Arabidopsis thaliana: one gene and its partners. The protein of the gene in region 2 purifies or fractionates together with the protein of the main gene of each other region. This does not show direct contact. Each region holds a gene or a part of one and is shown on either strand. Other genes may lie near its edges. The genes, in order: HB22, LSH10 and AT1G26550.

Evidence for each region.
Region 1: the proteins of LSH10 (region 2) and HB22 fractionate together in Arabidopsis thaliana (co-fractionation; one large-scale study listed by BioGRID). This does not show direct contact.
Region 3: the proteins of LSH10 (region 2) and AT1G26550 fractionate together in Arabidopsis thaliana (co-fractionation; one large-scale study listed by BioGRID). This does not show direct contact.

Annotation. Positions count from the first base shown.
Region 1 is NC_003075.7:12,720,958-12,729,299, reverse strand, and holds HB22 (homeobox protein 22), read left to right. Parts: upstream 1-3,662; 5' UTR 3,663-3,786; coding exon 3,787-4,435; coding exon of another isoform or gene 4,436-4,449; exon of another isoform or gene 4,450-4,748; intron 4,749-6,341; coding exon 6,342-6,388; downstream 6,389-8,342. Other genes in the region: TAR2 (tryptophan aminotransferase related 2), read left to right, coding at 1-284, 424-704, 788-1,080, 1,164-1,360; IPT4 (isopentenyltransferase 4), read right to left, coding at 7,878-8,342. UniProt on the Arabidopsis thaliana protein: Essential protein. Putative transcription factor.
Region 2 is NC_003071.7:17,744,789-17,753,091, reverse strand, and holds LSH10 (LIGHT-DEPENDENT SHORT HYPOCOTYLS-like protein (DUF640)), read right to left. Parts: upstream 5,312-8,303; 5' UTR 5,088-5,311; coding exon 4,554-5,087; 3' UTR 4,523-4,553; intron 2,998-4,522; 3' UTR 2,568-2,997; downstream 1-2,567. UniProt on the Arabidopsis thaliana protein: Probable transcription regulator that acts as a developmental regulator by promoting cell growth in response to light.
Region 3 is NC_003070.9:9,167,566-9,175,199, forward strand, and holds AT1G26550 (FKBP-like peptidyl-prolyl cis-trans isomerase family protein), read left to right. Parts: upstream 1-3,552; 5' UTR 3,553-3,638; intron 3,639-4,224; 5' UTR 4,225-4,234; coding exon 4,235-4,367; intron 4,368-4,515; coding exon 4,516-4,625; intron 4,626-4,875; coding exon 4,876-5,018; intron 5,019-5,108; coding exon 5,109-5,151; 3' UTR 5,152-5,468; downstream 5,469-7,634. Other genes in the region: AT1G26540 (Agenet domain-containing protein), read right to left, coding at 218-870, 994-1,101, 1,190-1,271, 1,372-1,499, 1,596-1,683, 1,765-1,929, 2,013-2,435, 2,790-3,230.

The DNA of each region.
Region 1 (8,342 bases), on a different chromosome or scaffold from region 2:
AGAGATATTGGCAGGAAAATGGAGAGGTGACAACAATGGTGATACCTGGATGGCAATCTCTTAGCTATTTTTCAGATGAAAACAACCTCTGTTGGTTTCTTGAGCCAGAGCTTGCCAAAGAGATTGTGAGGGTGCATAAGGTTGTTGGGAATGCTGTAACGCAAGACCGCTTCATTGTTGTTGGCACTGGCTCAACACAATTGTATCAGGCTGCTCTCTATGCTCTCTCCCCACATGATGACTCCGGTCCCATTAATGTCGTGTCAGCCACACCCTATTATAGTGTGAGTCATATTTATAGCCATCTCAAAACTATCTGTATGTCTTGTTAGACACGCCATTTTGCTGGATACTAGTTTTTTTTTATAGTTATTTTAGCACATATATGTGTCAATCTAACATGTATAACCGGTTTGGTTGCAGACATACCCGTTGATTACAGACTGCCTCAAATCAGGTTTATATCGATGGGGTGGAGATGCAAAGACGTACAAAGAAGATGGTCCATACATTGAACTTGTTACATCTCCAAACAACCCTGATGGGTTCTTGAGAGAATCAGTAGTGAACAGTACTGAAGGTATATTGATCCATGATTTGGCTTACTATTGGCCACAGTATACACCGATAACATCACCAGCTGATCACGATGTTATGCTCTTCACTGCTTCAAAGAGCACTGGCCATGCAGGGATACGGATTGGGTAAGTACAATCTTTTGCTTTTGTGGGAGCAAAACAGAGAACAAGTCTCTTAAACGTTACATTCTTGTTCATTTAATTTGCAGATGGGCTTTGGTGAAAGACAGAGAGACGGCTAGGAAAATGATAGAGTACATTGAACTCAACACGATTGGGGTTTCAAAGGACTCACAGCTTAGAGTAGCCAAGGTTCTTAAGGTTGTGTCAGACAGTTGTGGGAATGTAACGGGCAAATCTTTCTTTGACCATAGTTATGATGCTATGTATGAGAGGTGGAAACTATTGAAACAAGCAGCAAAGGATACTAAACGTTTCAGTGTTCCTGATTTCGTCTCTCAACGTTGCAATTTCTTTGGCAGGGTCTTTGAGCCACAACCAGGTACGTATAAAGAAAAACAAAAGTAGAAATGATTGTAGAACCACTTCTTTTGTTTTTCATTTGGTTTGGTGTGTTTTGTGCAGCATTTGCATGGTTTAAGTGTGAAGAAGGGATAGTGGATTGTGAGAAGTTTCTTAGAGAGGAGAAGAAGATTCTAACTAAAAGTGGAAAGTACTTCGGAGATGAGCTAAGTAATGTGAGGATAAGCATGTTGGATAGAGATACTAACTTTAATATTTTCCTTCACAGGATTACATCTTCCTTTAATTCAACTTTGTAAGTGCATATGCATGTGATTATGATCGATTGTCATAACTTGCAACAAGTGTTTTGCTCCATAAATATTATTGGAAATTTGAATAATGTGAAGGATCAATCAAAGACCTATTCATCAAACCATCTCTGATGATATGAATGAGCAAACATTCATTCACTACGACACAACCGAGAGTTTGTTCAAGCGTTGTCAGCATTTTGGTCTGGAACTTTGTAATCTCGAAGGATCAGATCCAACATCTCATAGCTTTTTCAGTATTAAATTCCAGCCTTAGGTAATCCTTCAGAGTCATATCAACATTTTTGCTACGGAAGGATCATTGTCGCTACCTTCCATTTTACATTTGTGTCAGCTTTATTCACAGCACCGTTTTTTAGCCGCATCAACTTTCTTTCTTTGTATAATTCAGAAGAATGAAATCATCCAAAATCATTTATATTTCATAACAAAAATGTTTTAAAAAAGTTGAACATAAAAAAAAAAAAAAAAAATTCCAAAACACCAACTAAACTCTCAAAAATACCAAATTGTGAAAGTTTTCAAAATATAATCTCTTGTCACTCATTCATCATACTCTAAAAGTTTAACTTTCATGGTTTGTATGTGAAAAAATAAATTAAAACATTAAAATAAAGCTTTTAGAAACTAATATGTATCCACAATATACATATGGATGAGGACAATGGTGGATGTGCACAACCACACAAAAACCATTCACGTGATTGTATCTGCAAAATTCATCATCAACTTTCTCCTGACTACGCCACATCATATTTGTTTGTGGAACTATTCCATCGTCAAACGGCCGTTCGTCTTTTGTCTTTTTCCACAAATCTACTAGCTCCCTTCTCTATCAACTTGATCGTCTACATAACTCTACTTGTCTTTTTCCCTATTCACAAATTAGTCTTTTTCTTGAGATTAGTAATTATTTTGAGGCCAACTTGATCAGAATCTGAGTTTGAATTCCAATTATACCCATTCTTGAATCTTAATTGCATGTTATATTTGTTTCCAAACCTATTCATATCCTTACTCAAAACACCATGTTTGTTGTTTTCACTTTGTTTGATGCATAGCTCATAAAACATCAGCGACACAATTTCTTCACACAAAAAGATAAAAGGGTTTATAACCAAGATATAAGTTTCAAAACCTTCACCATAAGCAAGAAGCATAACAACTTCAACTTGTATACATTTTTTTCTAGTTTTGTACTAACTAGATATAGAGACACAAAAAGAGAGAAAACATGATTAAGAGTTGGAATTAATGATAAGTTGTAAATATATCTCACATAAAACGTGTTTGAATTCCATTTTAAGGATAAATGATAGTACTTCAGATCTTAAATGAATTTGTTGCAACTTGCACCATGATTTCTTTCAAACCAAAAAACAGGTCTAGACCGGGTGGTCCACAGATTTTTGGCTCACAGGAATATTCCTACATATAACACTACAACTGTACAACATACATATAGAGCAGTAGATAGTAAATTATACCGAATAAAAAAATCTAGTTACATTTCAAGTCACACGAACTGTTAGAACGGTTCATGTTAGGCTCAGCATATTTCTAAGTAATAAATTTTGAAATCGAAAAGGCTTTTCTAAGTATAGCCGGACTGAATTACTATATGAGTCGTGGACTTACCGGTCCGACGGTGAACAACTATTGGTTCCGAGAATGGTATTTCTGCGTTCAGAATTCTGTGAGTACGGATTAATAATATATTTATACTGTCAATTGTCAAAGAGCCGATTTCCGATTTAAGAAACTAATTTGTTTGATAATGAACACAAACAAGAAACCAAAATTAAGGCCGGATTTATACCCATGACACGTTATCTCTACGTCCAATGCTCTTGCCATTTGCTGTGATCCGTAAGTTCCCAAAGACACTTTTTCTTTCACCACAGTCCCACTTTTGATCTTTTTTTTTACAGTAAAGTCAGAACTCAGAAGTACCTTGAACAAAACCCTAAACGCACTTTTAATATTAATCACTCTCAAACCACCATTTAATTATTGTAAATCATATACTCCAATGGAACATACTTTTTTTACTGTACTTTTCATCAAACTCTAAAAAGGTTATGGCTTATGGGTGTTCTTTTTGGATGAAACTATCTATATATGAATATTATTCTAAAACAAACAAAAAAAAACGTAAAAAGTTGAGACTCCCTTTTATTAAGCGGCAGGGTTTGTTGACCACACTCTCATCATCTATCTCTTTCTTATCTTCACTGTTTTATCTTTTCTTTCGGATTAAATTAAATAATTTTTTCCTCCATAATTTATACTCTTAACTCTCATGAATTATTGGTCTCTCTATTATAGTTTTTTAAGTAACAATCTAATTGTAGTACGGATGTCTCTTGAGATGTTCAAGAATTAAGAAATAAAGAAAGAGGGATCGGAGAATGAATTTTGAGGATCAAGAAGAAGATATGGAGATGTCAGGTGTTAATCCCCCCTGCGGTTACGACTCTCTAAGCGGTGAGGGAGCCACATCTAGTGGTGGTGGAGGAGTAGGAAGGAGTAAAGGAGTTGGAGCGAAGATAAGGTATAGAGAGTGCTTGAAGAACCATGCTGTTAACATAGGTGGCCACGCCGTGGACGGTTGTTGCGAGTTTATGCCTTCCGGTGAAGATGGAACGCTCGACGCTCTTAAGTGTGCAGCTTGCGGCTGCCACCGCAACTTCCACCGCAAGGAAACCGAAAGCATCGGCGGTAGAGCCCACAGAGTTCCCACGTACTACAACCGCCCGCCGCAGCCGCATCAGCCGCCTGGATATCTTCATCTAACATCTCCCGCGGCGCCTTACAGGCCACCCGCGGCATCGGGGGACGAGGAGGATACATCAAATCCTAGCAGCAGCGGCGGGACCACGAAGAGGTTTAGAACGAAGTTCACGGCGGAACAGAAAGAGAAGATGTTAGCCTTTGCGGAGAGGTTGGGGTGGAGAATTCAGAAGCATGATGACGTGGCGGTTGAGCAGTTCTGTGCGGAGACTGGTGTTAGGAGACAAGTGCTTAAAATCTGGATGCATAACAACAAGAACTCTCTTGGTAAGAAACCCTAATTTTGCTCGAGACATGATTTAAAACACTAGAGGATCATAATTGTTTCTTTTTTTGGTATGACTCTTCTGTAACTACTTCTGCTTATTAGTTATGTTATTTTTTCCTGGACATACAGTTTCTTCTTCTAGTTAATAATCGTATCTGGTCGTTTCGGACAGTTTAGGAGACATTGTGATTAATCTTTATTAACTTTGGTTCGACTAGTTAATTCCATAAATTTACTGAGGATGCAATTGAATGATGAACCAAACTATCCAAATTTAAAGTACAGTGATTAAACCAACATTGGTAAACAATATAAAAGTATACTCTCTGTTATTTTCCTATATTAGTATTGCCATATACCTATGTTAATTAGATGATTATTAAAGATCCGTTGATCAAGATATGTAGCCTTGTAATTTGTGATAGTTACATATTGTTGACAAACAAATAAAATGATAAGGAGGATTAGAGCTAGGAATCAGCTATAGTCTACGTAAGTTATCTCTTATAGGGCGGTTAAAATGAACTAATCTAAGATTATCTGTAAAACTGAAGAAAAAGTTCAAAAAAGCAAGAAAATAAGATCTGGGACCGGTGAGCATGTGCAACAATGAGAAGCCATGGACGATTGTAGTCGTATAGGTGTCTAAGCATAACATGCCATTGCGGGATAATACACTCGTAATTAAAAACAACAAAACATGTTGTTTAAATAGGTAAATGTTTAAATAACATGTTATTTATTTGCTTATTACGCGTGTGATATCCATAAATAGCATATGATATACGAACTGACGCAAAACACACATATGAATAAAACAAAACGCAGTTAAGGAACATTTTTCTGTTGTAATATCCAAGTTTTGCAAGGGTCTCATTTGACCTATTTTTTCTAAATAAATTTTACATTAACTGAATATTTCCTTAGTTCATTAAACGTATTTTGATTTTGTTCAAAAAGACTTCGAACCGTTAAATCCGGATTTTATATATCATGTGAACAGAAGGAATTGAAATAATTAAACTAATGATGATTTCCGAAGGATGTCAGACGATAGATTTCCATCTTGATGAAGAAAATGACGAGAGAATTCACATTTGTCACATTCCTCTCGCTATCTTACCAAAACTCACCGCTTATCACATTAACTCTCTCCTCTCTTTTTTCTTCTTATATAAATGTGCTTTGCTTTTGTGTTGAGCTTGCTTTGAAACTTCTCACTCTTTTGTCTCTTTCACAGCACGACACAATCACACAACCCAATTATTAAATTAAGCATCAATTAATTAACGTAACGTTTTGATGTAAACATATCAAATGTAGAAAACATGGTGAAATGCTTAATTGCATAATATAAGCCACGTGTGTGAAAGTGTGTTTGGGGTTATTGGGCCGAATATTGATGGGCTTAACAAAACGAAAAAGCTTATCTCAAAATTTCTCCTTTCAATCAACAAACTTCCATGCATTTTCCTCTCGTCGATCTTCCTCTCGTCTGTTCGTGTTTCTAATACTTGTTGACTTGTTGTGAATTGTTTAACCGAGGATGTCTCGATTCGATTTGATTGATAAACCCTAGTTTCTTTCGCTCTAAGATTGGAGAAATGAAAATCTATTGTCGTTTTTAGGTTGCGGAATCATATATATTGAAAACCGCACACCCTAATTGTGAGAATCGATCTTTTTTATTAAATCAAGCTCGAATTCTAAATTTTGTTGATTTCATTCTAAGATTCGAGAAATGGAAATTTATTGTGGTTGCAAAACCTAGATTTTGATAATTGCACAGTCTACGAACCCTAATTTTAAGGAATCGGCCTTGTATAAGTTATTTTTTTTGTCTCCATGATCTTCTGAAAGCAATAAATATTGACGTTTAGGATTATGTTTTTTTATCTTCTTCAGATGGCTATCAAGTTTTCAAACGATACGAAGCGACTTCAGCTCATTAACAGCATTAGAGAAGCTCATGTTGGAGCTCACTCAAATCAAGCATGTCATTGATCTTCTCATTGATGTTTATGTTTGTGTCCCCTCTTTTTGGTCTTCGTATGAAAGCTATAAATCATCGTTTATTTAATGAAGCTGATTTGTTTGTTATTTAACTTCAATCTTGTAGAGAAGGCTAGCCTTAACACCCGAGCATATAAATGAAGAGTGATTATATATGTTGATATGCATTCCAATAAGGCTGTTTTTGATAGTTTGAGGAAGAATCCGATATTGCATTATGACGGAACAAGATTCTCTTACAAGGTAACTAAACATTTCATTCAAGGTAGATATGTTTCTCATTTTCTCTTTGAAAAAAAGTTTCACGTGTTTACAATTTTGCTTTGCCGCCATCACAGGCTACTTAACGATGTCAAGGACAAGAGACAGGTTCTTTCGTTGGTGGGTGAATACACTGATGGGATTGTGGTAGTTGTTCTCAAAGACGCTTAGCCGAATGTCATGGAGGATTTGAAGGTATGCATTGTTATAAACTTATAATTAATGAGAGAGACACAAAACAACAGTTTTGGAAATATAACTCCATATAAATATACTTTATTAATGTATCGCATGTATAGATTCTTGGTAGCAAATCTGAAATCAACGGTGACATGAGAAATGGTCGCCTTGAATCCCCTATGTTTTAAAGACTTATTTCTACTTTGAGTATGACTGAATACAAAACCGGTTTCAATCTTGAATTGTGTTTTCTATACGGCGTCAAAAGTTGTAGGATCCATCTACTGTTAGCAGATGGGGGAAATATATGATGTTTCTTGATAGCAAGAAGGTAACGGATGTCTTGTATTTTGCAGGCTCTTCAGGCTTCAGGAGACATCTGGATGTCTTATCAAATTCACGAGAGGTCATTGCGTACCCAAATGATTTAAAGAGTGAGAATCCTATTCCGTTTTGGATTATTTTAATTGATGTCAAGGATTCAAGGAAATAATTAGATGAGAACCTTTACATAGAAATCTCTTCATCTCATTTAGAAGTTACAAATCCGTCCACATTTTTTTCTACCATCCCACCGGCCATTTTTGTTTGTTGATAGAAATTGTTTTAATCGTCTTCAACCTATACATTATGTACAATAGTAAACTCAAAAACCTCATAAATTACGACCTTAAATTATATACTTTTTTTGTATCATAATCTTTGAAAAATAATCCATATAGATTTATACATTTCTAGATATACATTTCTCTAAATCATATTGTACGTAAAAATCCACATATCTTTAACCATGCATGTTTTACGTACACATTTATAAATGAAAATTTTTAATCTACGATATTATGTTTACTATTTCGCGAGGGAATGAGTCCTTGTTAAAACTATAAATAGAAATCAATATCAGTAAAAATGTATTATATTAAAATATTTATAAAGCTAATATGAAATTTTTTTATGACATTTGTTTTGCGGTGATATTAGTCCAAACTAGTTAAGACTTAAAAATCTTTTTAGTAAATAAAAGTAATAATAATAATAGTTGATCGGTTGGTCCAAGTGGCTCCTGACAATCTTCACACACGGTTCCAACACTTCCTTGTTCCATATCTTTCTCTGCATCTCGGCTACACCTTCGCCTTCCTTGGCTGCCCTAATTGCCTCTCGAAACGATGCTGTAGCATCCACCTTCTTTATGTCCCACCCGGCATTTCTCAGCTTGTTGATCTTCGTGATTTGATCCTTTGTGAGCTGAAATGTGTTTTCTTTGATGGCTCTCACCGCCTTCTCATAAGCCTCCTTTCTCATAGGGTCCCATTTATCCATGTCATTGTCCCACTTGTACATTTTGAGGTAGTCATCAAACTCTTGCACTCCTATAGCCTTCCATATCCCCAATGGCTCTTTCGGGGCCTTCTTAGAGCGGTGGAACTCAGCGATCTCCTCGAACATACC
Region 2 (8,303 bases):
GGCTCCAAAAAGATTTAACTTCTTAAATCTTACATGTCATTCAATTTTTCATATGTTATGGCCACTAAAATTTCTTGAATCCGATCTTCACTTCTGTTGAAATATTAGAGCACTTCCATGGCACATTATGGAGAGTGTCTTTCATAAATATTAAAAAAATTTGAAGTTATAAAATACTAATAATAAAATGTGATGGGTCTTTAAATTTGAGACACACTCTCAAAAATGTCTCTAACAAGACATTTACCATAAAATGTCTTTAGTTTAAAGATACTCAAACATTAAAGTAATATATTTTCTTTACATATATTATATTATAGTTATAGAAAGACCCTCTCATTGATGTGCAATGGAGTTGCTCTTATGTGCTAGCTAGTGTTACTTTTCTCAAACTGATGATATGTTATTAAAATCGTCCTAACCTAAAAAGTTATACGCAAACGATACAAAAAGGAAAAAAAATCGTATAAAATTAATTTGTAGTTGTGAAAAAATAGACCAATTACTGGAAGCTTTGGTGGGCCTGGGCCCGGGTTTTGAATTTAATGACCGAAAGAAAATTAGTTATAAGAGTAATGAGAATGGCCAAAAAAGAAGTGGTGGGAAAAGAGAGTGACGTGGAAGTAGATAAGTGGTGACGTGAAGTAAATGTTTGTGTTCCGTAACTTAAAAATCTAATCCTTCAAAGTACACCATGCTGTCTCACTCTCACGACGTTGCCTTGCTTGTCGTTTTTCTCTTTTTTTTCTTTCAAAGATTGATGACGTGGACGTCTAGTAACAAAGCAGTTTCTAGAATTCCACGTGTCACATGTGGGTTCGACATCTCGGGTTTATCATTTAATGTCTTTCGTCCGATCTCCACGTTCGTTCCAACGGTTTTGTGTAACGACGATGTTGTGGTTGAAATTTTCAATGTGTAATTATGTTTTTGAAATCGAGATCAGATTTAATTCTTGAGCTGATAATTTTTTAGTTTAGTTTGATAGATATAGTTTATTCCGGATAGTTTATAGATTTTATTTTGGGTACAGCAAAATTGGTGGATGTTTTGATTTGTCAGAAGCAACATACCATTTGAAGGAACAATTACTTTTTAAGAATTAGATATAATAAATCGTAGCTCACTAGGTTAGGTAATGACATGATAGTTGTTGACTTGTGATAAGGAGCTGAGAAGAGAGAACTGGGAAACAGTCGAGAGGCTATGGGCCTAGCATATTGGGTTATGTTACTACAAAATTGGGCTTATTTAAGTTATCTTATGTGGCCCATTTAGATTATATGTCAACAAAATTTATTAAAATTTGCTTTTCGAGCTTTTTGTTGTTCTTTCTACAAACTGTACAGAGGGAGTAATTGTTATTGGGAAAGGAGCAAAAGATTAAACACAGCATAGAACATATGCATGTTTAGAAAAGAGATAGTTGAGACTTTAAATAGGAGTCACAAGTGTCGGTGACGTGCGATGGAGAAAGAGGCGAGAAAACAAGTGGACAATACGTTTCTCTATTGGTGTGAAGAGATTGAGCTCGAAGAGGGGTCCTACACGTACTCAGATGATACGAGTGATTTCTTCAATGAGCGAAGCCAGAGGCCGCGATTTTAGGTTTGGAGACGAACATTCCTTTGCTTCCATATGAAATAAAGTGATCGAGGTTTGTGCTTATACTAGTCTCACGATGAGAGTTGTGTTGCTTTAAGATGAAGGAGACCGAAGCTATTGAAGGAATCCGACGAAGCTTGTTGATGATAGCGGAGATGAAGACATACATTATTTTTAGAGAAGAGGAGTTTAAAACAAAAATGTAACATAAAACTATAATCAATATTTTACATGAAATTGTAAATGTAAAAAAAAATGAGGTTAGTTAACGGGCGACACACAAAAGGCCAAAGCCATGTTAAAATCTAGTTAATTAGGCATGAAGAATTGAAAAATATGCTCAATTATCATTTCTATACGGGAACATACAAATCATTATTTTTGTGGAGTATCATTGCTCTTGTTATTCAACTTACAAGATTCTCAAAGTGTTATTCAAAATTCATGAAGACCATACTTTCCTTAGAGAGAAGATGAAAACTGTTACTCTTACAAAATAATCTCTTCACTATTGTTGAGACTCAGACTCATAACTTTGATCTATTAGAAAAACATAAATTAATACACCAGCTGAGCTATAGGTATATCATCGCTGGATTTACACAATATGCTTGATAATTAGAAAACAATAAAGCCAATTCCGATGAAGACAAATATGAACTTGCCCTACCAAGATTGTTTTGTAAACGACTTTTCCTATCATATTATAACACCATGTACTCGTCGTTTTGGGGGAAAATTAATAAAATGTAATGGTATTTCTGTTTAACTAGATTTATTTTCCTCCAACTTGTTTTTGTCTTTTTCATCTAGACTTAACATTTACAAACATTGTTTTTTACAAGTTTAAATTTCAAGGTTTTCTCTTATTTGTTGGGAACATCAGTCAGGAAACAACTTTTTATACTATTTTCAAACAGATTGTTTTGAAGCTAATCCATTGATCACTTTCTTCTCTAAGTTATAATTACGTCGATCCATCAATTTTAGAATACTCCAAAAACAAAAATTATAATTGGTCATCGGACTCTGCTATTCCACCATATATAGTCCATTGTAATTTTCATTTAAATCCAATATGTTGGACTTATATAAGACATAGAAGTACGCTGATCCACATAAGAAGTACAAAACACACCTGAATTCAATATATAAACTCTTTACACTTACTTTATTCAAAAGAAAAGTGCTTAATAAGAGAATAAATATGAATAGAGCTTAATAAGAGAATAGATGAAGATATTTATGACGACGGAGATCTGCGGAAATGAAGAGGAGGGGACGAAGAGCTGCAAAAATGGTCCCGAAAGATATGTTGAAGATACCAGTAGATAGATTTGAGGTCTCTTTTACATTTGATCCCTCTTTGAGACTTACTGATCCTGCCAAGTTCTATTGTATCAAGATTAGTTCACTAATTCATTGCCAGAAATACATGTAATATGCGCTTACCTAGATTCACAGATGCAAATAGGATAACGTATATAAATTCAAGTTTAAGCCATAACTATGCGAGATGCATGCATGCATGTCCGAGAGACTTAATTTTAACCCATACTTCTATGGAATTCATCAAAAATATATTCTTAAATTATGTTTCTTGTGGCATATGTCACATTTGTATAATCGAACAAAATCTACAAAGCTATGCGGGGGACAAAACCAACTTTCAAGCTTTTCCAAAGTTAGTGGTGACAAAGATCCTAAAGGAGACGCATAAAGATGATTTGAGCAAATTATATATAAACTTAAGACTGAAATTATAATTGAGATCAAAGAAAATAAAAATGATTTAATTAGTTGAATTCAAAGAGACAAACTTAATTTCCACAAAATCTAATTGTATAATCTCAGAAAATGCCAATGCATAACTATTCCCAATGATCATGCAGTAAACAGCCTTTATAAAAGCTAAAATTACATGTCACAATCCAAGCTCTAAAATCTGAGATCCTAATTAATATGATTGTATATGATAAAGATTTGGTTGAATTGTTCATATTGAGATCATTCTACTAAGACCCACATTGCAATAGTTTAAAAAGTATGAATTAAAAACGTTAAAGTATTATGTGTGAGGTAATTTCTATTCTGAGATAACCTTCTTAGCCTTTGATAACAATCATGGAATCTCAATATTTCTTTAGGTTATAAAAATGGGGGTAAAAGGTTCAATCAACTCCTCCCTTGATCACCAATGGGGAACAAAATCTACAAAAATCTTTAAAGAGAAGCCTTCCAAGAGCCAATCATTACTTCATTGAACTACGTACTATTTATATAAATAACAGTGGTACAATGTGTACACACGGCCCATATATACCAATATTCAACTATACATACATGGTTGATAAAGAAAGGATTCAACTTTTGAGAATCAAATGTACGTTTTCCAAATCTTGAATGAGTTGTTCACTAGGATAAACTTGAATAGTCTATAATTTCACATATACATAGCTTAGAAAGTCTGATGCATTTTCAAATTAAGGTTTTGAATAAATCTGTTTTTAGTTTACTTTAATGTTAGAGATTTAATGAATCATCTATTCAAGAATTGATTTTACATGCTAGAAACTAGAAAACACATCTTCCTTTATATTATTTCAAAACTAAAATCAACTTGCATTCGAAGAGCTAAAATGATTTAAAAGAAATCATTCCAAAACACATCTACTTCCACTGAAACCTAAGATCTAATCACAAACCGGTCCCTTAATTCCGAACCCAATATCAAGAAAAAAATTTAGCTGATCATTCACAGAAATCAAAAGCCTAATTGTATCTCCAATTAGGGTTTTTGATACATAGTATAATATATATTATATCAATCAAAATCTATATGTTATATATAAATGATGCAGATATGCTTGCTTTATATGTAAATTATGCAAAGTCACATATTGGAAACATATATTACCACAAAGTCTTTCACGACGATGGAGAATCTCTTAAGAGAAGCTGAAGGAAGAGGAGGAGGAAGAAGAGTCCTCTCTCCCACCTCCCATCTCCGGCGTTGGCTTCTTCTTCTTCTTCTTCTTGTAAGGAATCCCTCTAGCCTTAGCCTGACACTCCCTAACCTCCCTCAGATAAACCCTTATCGCTCCGCTAGCGAAAGGGTTAGTCTCCGGAGGTCCACCGTTCTCCTCGTAAGCCGCTCTCAGCCGTCCGATCAAAGCGTCAAGACTTCCCCAAGCTTGTCTGAGAGGGCACGTGCAAGGAGCTGGTGGCTCAGGCTGGCCGTAGAACATACAGCCAGGCACGTGCACCTTTGTCTTACCGAACTGGTCTAAGTACCTGAGGAAATCAAGCACGTGGTTACAGCTGCAGTGAGACATCGGCACAGGCGGTCTCTGATTCTTCAAGTACTGTCCGAAAGTGTTCCAGTCACGTCTCTTCTGCGACTCGTAACGGCTTGGTGTCACCGGTGGCTCTGATCCTGATGATTCCATCAAACTCTTTCCTCTTTCTCTTGGAGAGGACATGATATGATCTCTTGTTGAGTGTAAGAGAGATGTTGGTGAAGAAGGTTAAGGGATCAATTTGTTTTATGGATCTGAAGAATTATGTAATAAGAAAGAAAGATGAAAGGTTGAGTGAGTTTGATGAGAGGGTGAAAGTAATAGTAGCAGATGATGTTGACGTTAGAGAGGACATGTTATGGGCCCTTTCAAAATTTTGTTTTCTTTCTTCCTCTCTCTCTCTTAACTAATTACGTATCAGTATTTATTAATCAAATTCATTGGCTAAAAAGATTTACATAGTTTTTGTTGAAAGATCACCAAGTTTGAGTTCTCCACCACGATTTCAAAATTGGATACTGTATATGTCTTTATAATGGTTAGAAGATTCAATGCTTACATCGATTTCAGAGAGTCAGAGACTATTTGGACTTCAGCTCAAGATCATATATAGTTTTCTAAAGGGATTTTATACTTGGGAAATGTGTTAGTTAGCTCATTGTGGGTTGTATGATAACATTTTCTATTGATTAAAAAACTACAAACAATACTCTTCTTGTTGGACGAAGCAATATTTACACACACACATATATATAAGGATGTGAAAAAACGTTGTGGATTTGTCTACGAGGGTTTAACACGCCGTAGGATGAAAAACGGCCAGGTTGAAAATACAGATTGGTTTGTCAGCGAATCAGATTAGAGTGGATCACTTTTAGACTATATTTTAATAAATATTAATGATATACAAATAATACTAGAATCGTTGATACCAATTTCTATGTTGACACGCCTAGCTACTTATAGTCCATCCAATTTTCCGGACAGGCGGAATATATTCGGCGTACCAATTATAACAGTTTGATATATGATCGTTTTCATTTCTCGTATTTTACGATATCAACGAAAAGGAAAAATGATAGTTCTTTTCAGTATAGATGAGTTGTTCATATCATTGATATATCAATTTGTTTTTTTCTTTCTATAAACAGATTTGCAACTTTAATTTCAATCAATTTTTGTTGATATAGAGTGATGCTGTTTATCTAAAATTCGTTGTAGGGTTCACTTCTTGTCCCCATCAGATTTCAATTGTTTTTTAACTCTAGATTTTTGTTTCGTAAATATGGATGCTTTGCATTTTTCATGTACTTGATAACTTCAAATACATTATAGATTTTGTTGGTTGTTTTGTGTCATCTATAATTTATATACGCATACATTTTCGAAATTCATATCAATTATGATACAATGCAAACCAGTATATTACATGTTTCCATCCGTTATAATTGACTAATGATAAAATTTATTTATTTGAAACAATAAATGAATTGCAAGTTAAGATAAAAAAATCTCCAAATATATATTTGGTAATTCAAATAGTTTATTACTACTTGTACGAGTGAAATTTCTTACGAAACATTTCATTTTATCAAATGGAAGGAGTTCAGCGACACTAAAAAGGAAGGCGTTAAGTACCAGTCAAAATCATTGTCAATTTTTCATTAAATGCTTCAACAAATTCTAATTAGGGATCTTGTTTTTTTCTCCGAAATACATTGCACATGATGTTTTTATAAAATCTAATTAAAGCCTAATTTAACGATAGATTTAGTCCTTTCTTTTTTTCCTTTTTTCAATGAAATGCAATATAATAATATTATAATGAAAATAATAATTGAGCGAGATGCAAAGTAGAGTGAGCATCTATGTCCCTGATTGGTTCATGAAAACTAGGTAATAGGTTATGACTCACTAACCACTATATATTCTACCTATGTTACATATGGTTTCTTTTATCATGTTCCATCAGAATTAATCGCTTATCTTTAATAGGATACTTACATATATGTCGCTATACATATCAACATTCAGAATTTAATAATATAGTATAATTGAACTAGAATAAATCATACCATATTTTGATTTGGTTTAATATGGTTGAACCCATTCCAATTCGGAGTAACTTGCATCTTGAAAATTTGTCTTTTTTGTAATTTCTTTTTGATGGGAAAGATGGTTTTGAAATTCTAAGTTGTAATGATTTGGAAGTAAGAAAACCTGATATTTACGTCATGTTGAGGAGAAGAAAGTAACACCTGTTAATTTATATTTCAACATATTATTAATTTACATAATAGCCAAAAGAACTCGTTTGAATATGGAAATATATCATGTAAAGCATAGAAAGTTAGTAATAGATGATGATCGTCATTTTATGGCCGTTTCTAACCAAATTGCTTCCGTGTATTCGATCCCTTGCAATTTAAGATGGATTTGTCACCGTTATAGCTATGAAAAATTGCAAACAGTAGCATATATGAAATGTTAGCACATAATGAATTTAGGCTATAATTCTCATTGGTTTGTTGACGACGTCTAGCGACAGTGAAGTCATATTTTCTTAAGGTATATAGAGTCAGCTTGACCAAAAAAAAAAAAGAGAGTATGTAGTCAAAGCAATTTAAGATTTCATCAAAAATTCTTTAATTCATGTCTTGTTCTTTAACTTTAGAGAACTAGAGGAAACTAAAAATGGTTAACTACCATGTGAACTACTGAAGTTGAAGAGAAACGAGAAAAGAACAAAAGAGAGGGCATGTGATGTGTTACGACACGTGCGTAGGCATATTATTTTCCAACCTGTCAAATTTGACTGTTTAGGATATGATATTTAATATTTTTTTTCCCTTTTGCCATTATTTTTCTATAACTTTTTAAATGTTTACAAAGTTGTCTCTATATACTTAGGTTTTATTCGTTTGAATATGAATGGCATTCTTAAAGTTTATGAACCCACACGATTAATAATGCGTTGGTTTTATATGGCTATTATTATCACATTACGAAAAAACGCTTGAACACATCATTTATTCAACATCACTTGTGTAAAGGATTTAAAATTGAAAAATGAAAAGGATATTAACAACAGTTACTTAGAGTTAACGTAAGTTTTTTTTTTTCTTTTTTTTGGCAAACGACTTAACGTAATTTTTTTAATCACTGAAAACTGACTTAAACGATATACACAATTGACGCTACATGATGTATTTTTTTTAGTGATATCGATCACAATGAATGCAGAAGTATTATTCAAAACAAAAAATAACTAAGTTCATGGTGATAATAACGTCACAGAAAATAAACTATAATTTTTTCTTTAAATATGCTATAATTTTTAAAACATTTTATTTAAATATTTAATGTATTAAATTATTAAAAATACAAGTTTCACGAAAT
Region 3 (7,634 bases), on a different chromosome or scaffold from region 2:
CTAATCATCATAAGATAAAAAATAAACATCAACGTCAACAATAAACCATAAGGACAAATAACTTACATTACTTAATTTTACCAAAAGCAGAGCTAAACCGCATCGTCAACAATAACCCATAAGGTCTAAAGATATTTGACAGATCACTTACATCTACTTCATTTTACCAAAATAAATACGAGCTTAAGAGGGGTCATTCATAGTTTCGTTTTCTTATTTACCACGGAGCCAACACAGATGTTATAAACTCCAACTCCACATTTGCAATCTCTTGATCAATGGTTTCCGCAGATGATTTCATTTCGACAATCATTTTGTCCGCCGCTTCTTTCTTCTCTTTCGCAACCTCTGCTCGTCTCTTCAGTTCCAACATTTTGCGTTCTACCTCAACCATCTCGTGTTCAAATTTTTGCATTTCAATCTCTTCAGCTTCAATCCTCTTCTCAAGACATTTCCTTTCCTCCACTTTCTTTGCTCGCCCAACTTGGAGAGACAACACTTTGTTTATCCGTGACTGAGGGGTTGCAATGTCGAAACCATGCTTCTCTAGCTCGGCAAAACAAGTACTGAGGCTACCTAGTTTGCTTGAAGAAACATCGAGCTGCAGCTTTTTTACTTCTTCTAATAACCCATAGAAACTCACCATCATGCCAACTGCTGACCATTCACGAATATCTTCTTTGAACTCCAACAACGGGCTAAAATGAGGATTCTGTGGCACTGTCTTGTATCCCTTCTCCATTTCATATGTCTTCCAAAATGGCAAATTCTTTGTAAAAGGCTCAATCGTTAGTGCACCTTTTGCTTGAGTTTCCTCAACATCAGCAGCAGAATTATCCACCACATTCGAGCTCTGATCAGAGGATAGCACTACATAAACCAATGCAAAATAAAATTATAAAAAATTTGTTCAAGCATATAAACCTGATTGTTTAATAAAGGATACATCTAAGCTACTTTGAATAGAAATTGCTTTAGTATATTGAACCGAACCTGTAGGTATATTTATCCAAGAAGAGAGAGGCTGATCATCAACATCATCAACACGTATAGTATCACTTGTACCGTTGACCCCAGCCTTTGAAACATTGCAAGTCTCATCTACAAGTTTTAACCAAGGATATGATAAAGTTTGGCAAGAAACAAAGAATACCAAAACTAATATGGCCAATGCTGATTTTAGACATACCAGTTTCATTCAGGTTAGAGTTTTGATTTTGTTCTCTTTTCCTTTTTCTACTCTTTTCGTTGCTATTCTCCTCCTCAGGCATCTGCATTCAAAAACAATTAACAATCAGGAAGGCTAAAGATAATAAGCACCATCTAGTGGAAGTGAGAATGGTTATGTTTCAAACAACAAACTAGCTTTACCTCGTGTTGAGTTGAACTATTTTCCAAGCCATTCTGATGCTTCACTGGCTCAGGTGTCTTCTTTGGGGATTTTTTTCCTTCAGTTTCAGCATCTTGTTGTTTCAATGGTGTGACTGTTATGACCGGGGCTGGGGTACATGTGAAACAGATTCACATTGACATTAAAGATCAGTATTAAGCGATGTAGAAACTAAACACAATGAGTTAAGGAAGATTATGTTTACCTATTGATGTTTCTTGAGGGGTTATGAGCAGATGAGTTTTGTCATTCATCACAGCATCAGCCTTGTTTTTTCCTAATTCTCTAGTGGCCTAATTTCAGGTAACGCAGATATGTTAAGCATAATCAAAGACATGGCGAAAGCAAAGGAAACTAGTGAGTGTCTAACTTACAGATACAAATTTTGCTTTAGTGGGTGTCTCGCTAATTTCCTTAGAATTCAGGAAACTTCTCAAATGCTTTGTGGCACTCGTAGGAGTCATTGACTTAGCAGCAGAACAAGAGCGCATTGGCTTCCTTTTCAAGATGGTTGGAGGAGTTTCTTTTATGGGTTTTTGCTGAAAATAGAAACAAACATAAAGCATTCATACCAATAAACCAAAACTGTCAGAATGTTGATTGAAACTAGTGTAATTGATACCTTTAGATCGTTATACCAAACTCCATCTTCCCACACCATGAAAGGCCTAAGATCTGAGTGTCTTATTGTAGATTCCTGCTGTGTAGCCTCTAATCTAACCGTGTAACGGTTCTCAGAGAGAATTTTCCTCACTTGCCCTTTATGCCATCCCAAACCAGAAAACGTCTCTACAGATTCCAACAATGCATACTTGTCAACTGAAGAAGGAGGCGGTATGGGTCTAACACGGCGCGAATTAACAATGTTGGTTGGTCTCGCCTCATCACCATTGCAGCTCAGGTACCTATTACAGTCCTTGACAATGAATTTCTTCTTATCATCCACATCAGTCTCTTTGACTACCATTGCAGGGGACCACACAGCTTCTTTGGCAGAAAACACTTCCACCATTGTCCCGGGGCTAAACATGGACTTATTCGATTCCTTCAAAGACAACAAATTAAAGTCTACTTTTAAGCATTCACAACCAAAACTAAACCTTTAATAATTTTAATCATAGCATATAACAAGAACAAAGAAAGCAACAAAATTTTGACAGCTACAAGCAAAAACAACACCGGATTTAAGAAAGGATCTCTTAACCATGGAACTATAACACTCAACAAACGAAAAATAGAGAAAAGTTTCAGCCTTTTGAAACTAAAGCTGAAACCTTTAACCATAACACGCAACCAGACTCAAAACGGATTAAAGCTTCAACCTTTTTGAAAGAGAGCAACAAAGAGACAGTTTCAAACATTCAAGCAAAGACCCACTTCGAATAAATCAACCTCATACCTCAATTTCTGGTTGGATCCAAGTCCCACCGGTCCAGATAAGATGAGTCCGCAACTGCTTTCTCTCGAACTGTATAATGTCAGGAGGCAAATCAAAATAAACCAAATAGTTGTCGTCCTCCATTTTCTTTACGACAACACCAGTCCACCACCCGTCTTTGTGGTCAGCATCCACCAGCAAACCTTCCTCCAAAACGACGTCTTTTTGTTGATTCTCCTCCGGAGGTACAGGTCTAATGAATCTCTGTTCGATGTGTTCGATTAAGGGAGACGAACCGTCCATGTCCAGCAACGTCGAGTAACGAACACGAAGCTTTCTGCGAGATGAGTTCCCTGGGTTTTCCTCTAAAACAGCTCTGAACCAAGCTCCTTCGAACCCTTCCTCTTCAGAACTGACTTCAACTACACAATCTTTCGTTATCTTCATCGTTTGCAGCTCCATCTCCGGAAAGTGAAAAATGTGGTTACTTTGTAGAAATAATCAAAACCCAGAACCCAAATAAGCAAAGAGTGAAGCAAAAAACCTCCCTTTTGTAAAACCCTAAAATTTCACTCTGATACTGAAAGACAGCTAGCTCTACAAATGAAAAGCAGAGACAGACATTTACGAAAATAGGAAAAATATTTATTTTCTTTTTGGCGCGATTAAATTTACGAAAAATAGAAAATATTTGATAAGAAGAGTATCTTATTGGGCCTAATAGCCCAACCATGAATGGCCAAGCCCATATTAATGAATGGGTTTAATGTTCCATCTCTAATCCCCACAAGACTTTTCAGCAAACAAATCTCTCTTTCTCTCTCTCACTCTCTGCTCGATCGTTCAATCTGATAGAAGAAGAATCTCAAGGTAAAGTTCTCGACTTTGTAAATTTCTTGGCTTCTCAATCAAATATTTCATTCCACTTTTAATAGTAACCTTTTGTGTTTTCTCCGATTGGTTTTGTAAACTGTTGGTCAATTCTCTGATTTTTAGGCTAGAAATTGAAAACTGGGGTTTATGTTATTTGCGCTAAATCTTCCGTCTAGATAATTGTTTTTCCATTTGCGATGTTATCTTGTGCATGGACGCACCGGTTCTATATTGGGCTCTTTGCGTTTCGATTGTCCAAATGTTAAATTACTCATTTTTTAATCTGTAATCTTGTTTTGTGTTTTGATCATTCTGAATTTGATGGATCTTAGCTTACTAAGTGTTTGATTAAATTCCCCAAAAGTTTCGGGTTGAAGCATTTTTTTAAGTTTACAAATTTGTATATCTGCTTCCAGTGTAGTAGATTCCAAGTCACTTGCATTTGGCTTTAAATCTGCATTGAAAAGTTCACTGGATTTATTTCAGGGTTTAGGGTTTACAAGATGTGTGTGGTGATGTTAAAAGTTAAAACCCTGTAATCTGATGGTGATAATAAAGTTTTAATCGTGGTTGTTTTTTATAGTTTTAATTCGATGGGGAAGGACGCAAAAGCTGGTGGGAAGGGTAAAGGAAAGCAAGCAAGTGGTAGTGAAGAAGCTCCCTCCAAGGGTAAAGGAAAAGCAGGAAAAGCTGCAGATGGTCTTGGGACATGCACTTATGTTAAAGGTGTGTTTTTTGGATTCGTTTCTGTGCCTGTTACCTTTGTTCATGAGTAAAAAATACTGGTAAACAAATATGGATCCAAAAGTTCTCTTACAACTTTTGTATTAGTACAATAGCATTAAAGTCAAATCTCCAATTGTTTTTGTTTCAGCAAGACATGTTTTGTGCGAGAAGCAAGGAAAGATCAACGAGGCCTACAAAAAGTTGCAGGATGGTTGGTTGAGCAACGGAGACAAGGTTCCTCCTGCTGAGTTTGCAAAGGTGAATATCCTTCTTCTTTTTTGTCTATGAGATCAAAACATCAATCTAAGATAGTTCAGATAGTATTGTTTATTCCATCTCTAACTGTGATATGTACGTAACCGCTTATAGAAAACCCACATTCAATACCTCATAGTTCATTGCTTTCCCGACATCTACAAGTTTCAGTTTTCGGTTAGATATATTTCGATAGATGTGTGTTATGAATTGTGGAGAATCTTAACACGATTTGTGTGTGGAACGATCTCAGATTGCAGCAGAGTACTCTGAGTGTCCATCAGGGAAAAAAGGAGGAGATCTTGGATGGTTCCCTCGAGGAAAGATGGCAGGTCCATTCCAAGATGTCGCCTTTAATACACCTGTTGGAGTCACCAGTGCACCCTTCAAATCAACGTATGTCCAAATCCGATCTCTTCTTTCTTCTCTTCTATCTGAATTTATCTTTATTAGTGGATGATGAATGTAATTGCGTGGTAATTGCAGGCACGGATACCACATTATTTTATCAGAGGGAAGGAAGAACTGACAGATACATCTCTGCTCTGCTACTTTTATGGAAGTTGCTACTGTAACCTTAAAAAAAACACAGCCTTTGTTGTTTTGGCCAAATTGTTAAAAAAACTTGTCTCGTTTTGAATAATGAATGCGTAACGGCCATAATATATGCCGGGTGTTGATTTCTGAAGTCTGAATATTGAGACACCATCTCTATTATAAGCTCGTCGCTTGGTTTCTTTGGCTTTGAGAACATTTTGAATTTGCCCGTAAGAAAAAATTGGTTTCTAAGCTGCTGGCTGTAGCTTAGAGAGGGTTGATGATTTGATACTGGCTATTCCTAACAATTATAACTTGGTACGAAATCGTTTTCGAATCATTGATTAATAAAGGTCATACGTGTGAACACAAGTGTAAAAGTGTGACGTTATTGCATGAGCATCTGAAAAACAGAGTGAAGAGAGGTGTGTAATGTGGGTCGTTGACTTGTTAGTGTGAATCTAACAAACGCATATTATGATCCATAATTGCGCAAACCCCTAATCCTCCATCCACTTTTTCATAAAAGAAACAATAATGGTTAATGAGATTTGTTGTCGCGTTACAAATTTCAAAACAACTTAACATTTCAATGACTTCATGAGCCAATAATTAGCACTTGTGTTGTGACTTATACATTCATTCATTAGTCAGATGAAATCTCTTACATATTTTTTTAAAAAACAATCACAACACATCTATTTAAGAAGAAGAAGAAAAAAAAGTAAATGCTCAACATAAAGTAATTGATTTAGAGAATAAAATCCGGGGAAAAAAATGTATTATTTGGAAGAAAAAAAAAAGAAGCAAATGGGAACACAAGCCTTTTTCATATAAGAGGGTCACAATCACAAATACATAACCTCAATGTGTGAACAAATATGAAAACTCAAATGCAGCATTTAGTTTTATTAACATGAAATGTATTATGTGGAAATTTACCAAATCAATCATATAATGTATCTTAAGTTTAAGTACAAGCAATTATACCTAAAAAGTTTAAAACTATAGACAAAGATTACTAAAATATAATCCACGTTTAACACAAACTATCAGAAGTCTATTTGGCTAGGTATAACGAAAGCAACAAATCCCTCTTTAAAAAAGAAAGCAAGATTATTAACTAATGTAATTATGAATACAATCAACGCAAATTAAAATCATAGAATGTAAAATTTGTAACGAAAAACGAGAACACGGTAAATATGACTAACGTGTTTTAATCTAACAAAAAACACCAAGATACGTTGCATCACAAGTGGATAATTGTGCAAAATTCCACATCTTCATTGTTAAAGCAAAATATTGTTTAAAACCAATAATAATTCGATACGTGTCAAGCGTGATAACTTTAACAAAATTAAGCAACTAATTAAGCACTTGAATAACTTCGCGAGACACTCGTAATAATTTCCACTTCTGAACTTCTATATTCATTAATTAATCAAATGAATCTCCTACTTACGCACACCGGCGGACCTATTAAGAAAGAAGGGGGTCAAGTGACCCCATTAATTATAAAAATATAATTTATTACATGTAAGTTTATATACTTACCCTGTTTTTTTGTTGATTGCTGCGACAAGCACCGGCGGCACAAAATATAAAAGAAAAAAGAAGGAGAGATGAAGGTGAGATGAATGAAAGAGTCGCAGCGATAGATCTGAAGAGATAGGAGAAAGAGAATTTGAGACGCTAAAAATTCCAGCGTCTACGGAATGGCCGAATTACAGTCACTGCGGCAGAGATGAAAGAGAGGAGAAATGAAAGTGAAAGAGAGATGAGAGCTTTTTTTAGATCGCAGGTAGCTGACTTAGCGATCAATCAAAAAACAGGGCCAGTGTATAACTAATTAACTAACAAAAATAAAATACATTAGCCACATATGTCCATTATAACTTCCCACTAATTTTATCTTATCAATAATTTTTACTTTTTGATGCAATCTTTTTCTGTTGTCTACTTTTCGTGGTTTTTTGTGTATTATCATTTTCTCTGTTGGCAACTTTGATTCTTATATTATTAGTTGTTTGATTGTCATTTTTTTCCATTCGCTTTAAGCCAAAGGTTATTTGAGATGCTCACAGAATTTTTAGACAAAAAGCAAATGGGAACAAAAGCCTTATAATAAGAGGGGGCCACAAAAACATCCACACTTTCACATTATCTCACGCCATACACTCGTTCCAATCTCACGATCCCATGAAGATCTCTCTTATCTAAACACATTTTATATTTTTGTTCATTTGTTAAATAAACACATTATAATTGGAAATAAAATTCTATTTACCGGAATTTTTCGTTCTTTAATAAATGGATGGAGGCATGGAGATCTACCAATCAAAGAGCAAATACTACGGTTTTATAAGATATATTATTTTTATTCAACCTTATTGAGTCAACTGATCAGTATGTTAAATATTCACATTGTTAGTTGAAGAACTATTTTTTTATATAGTTATTTTGATATAATTT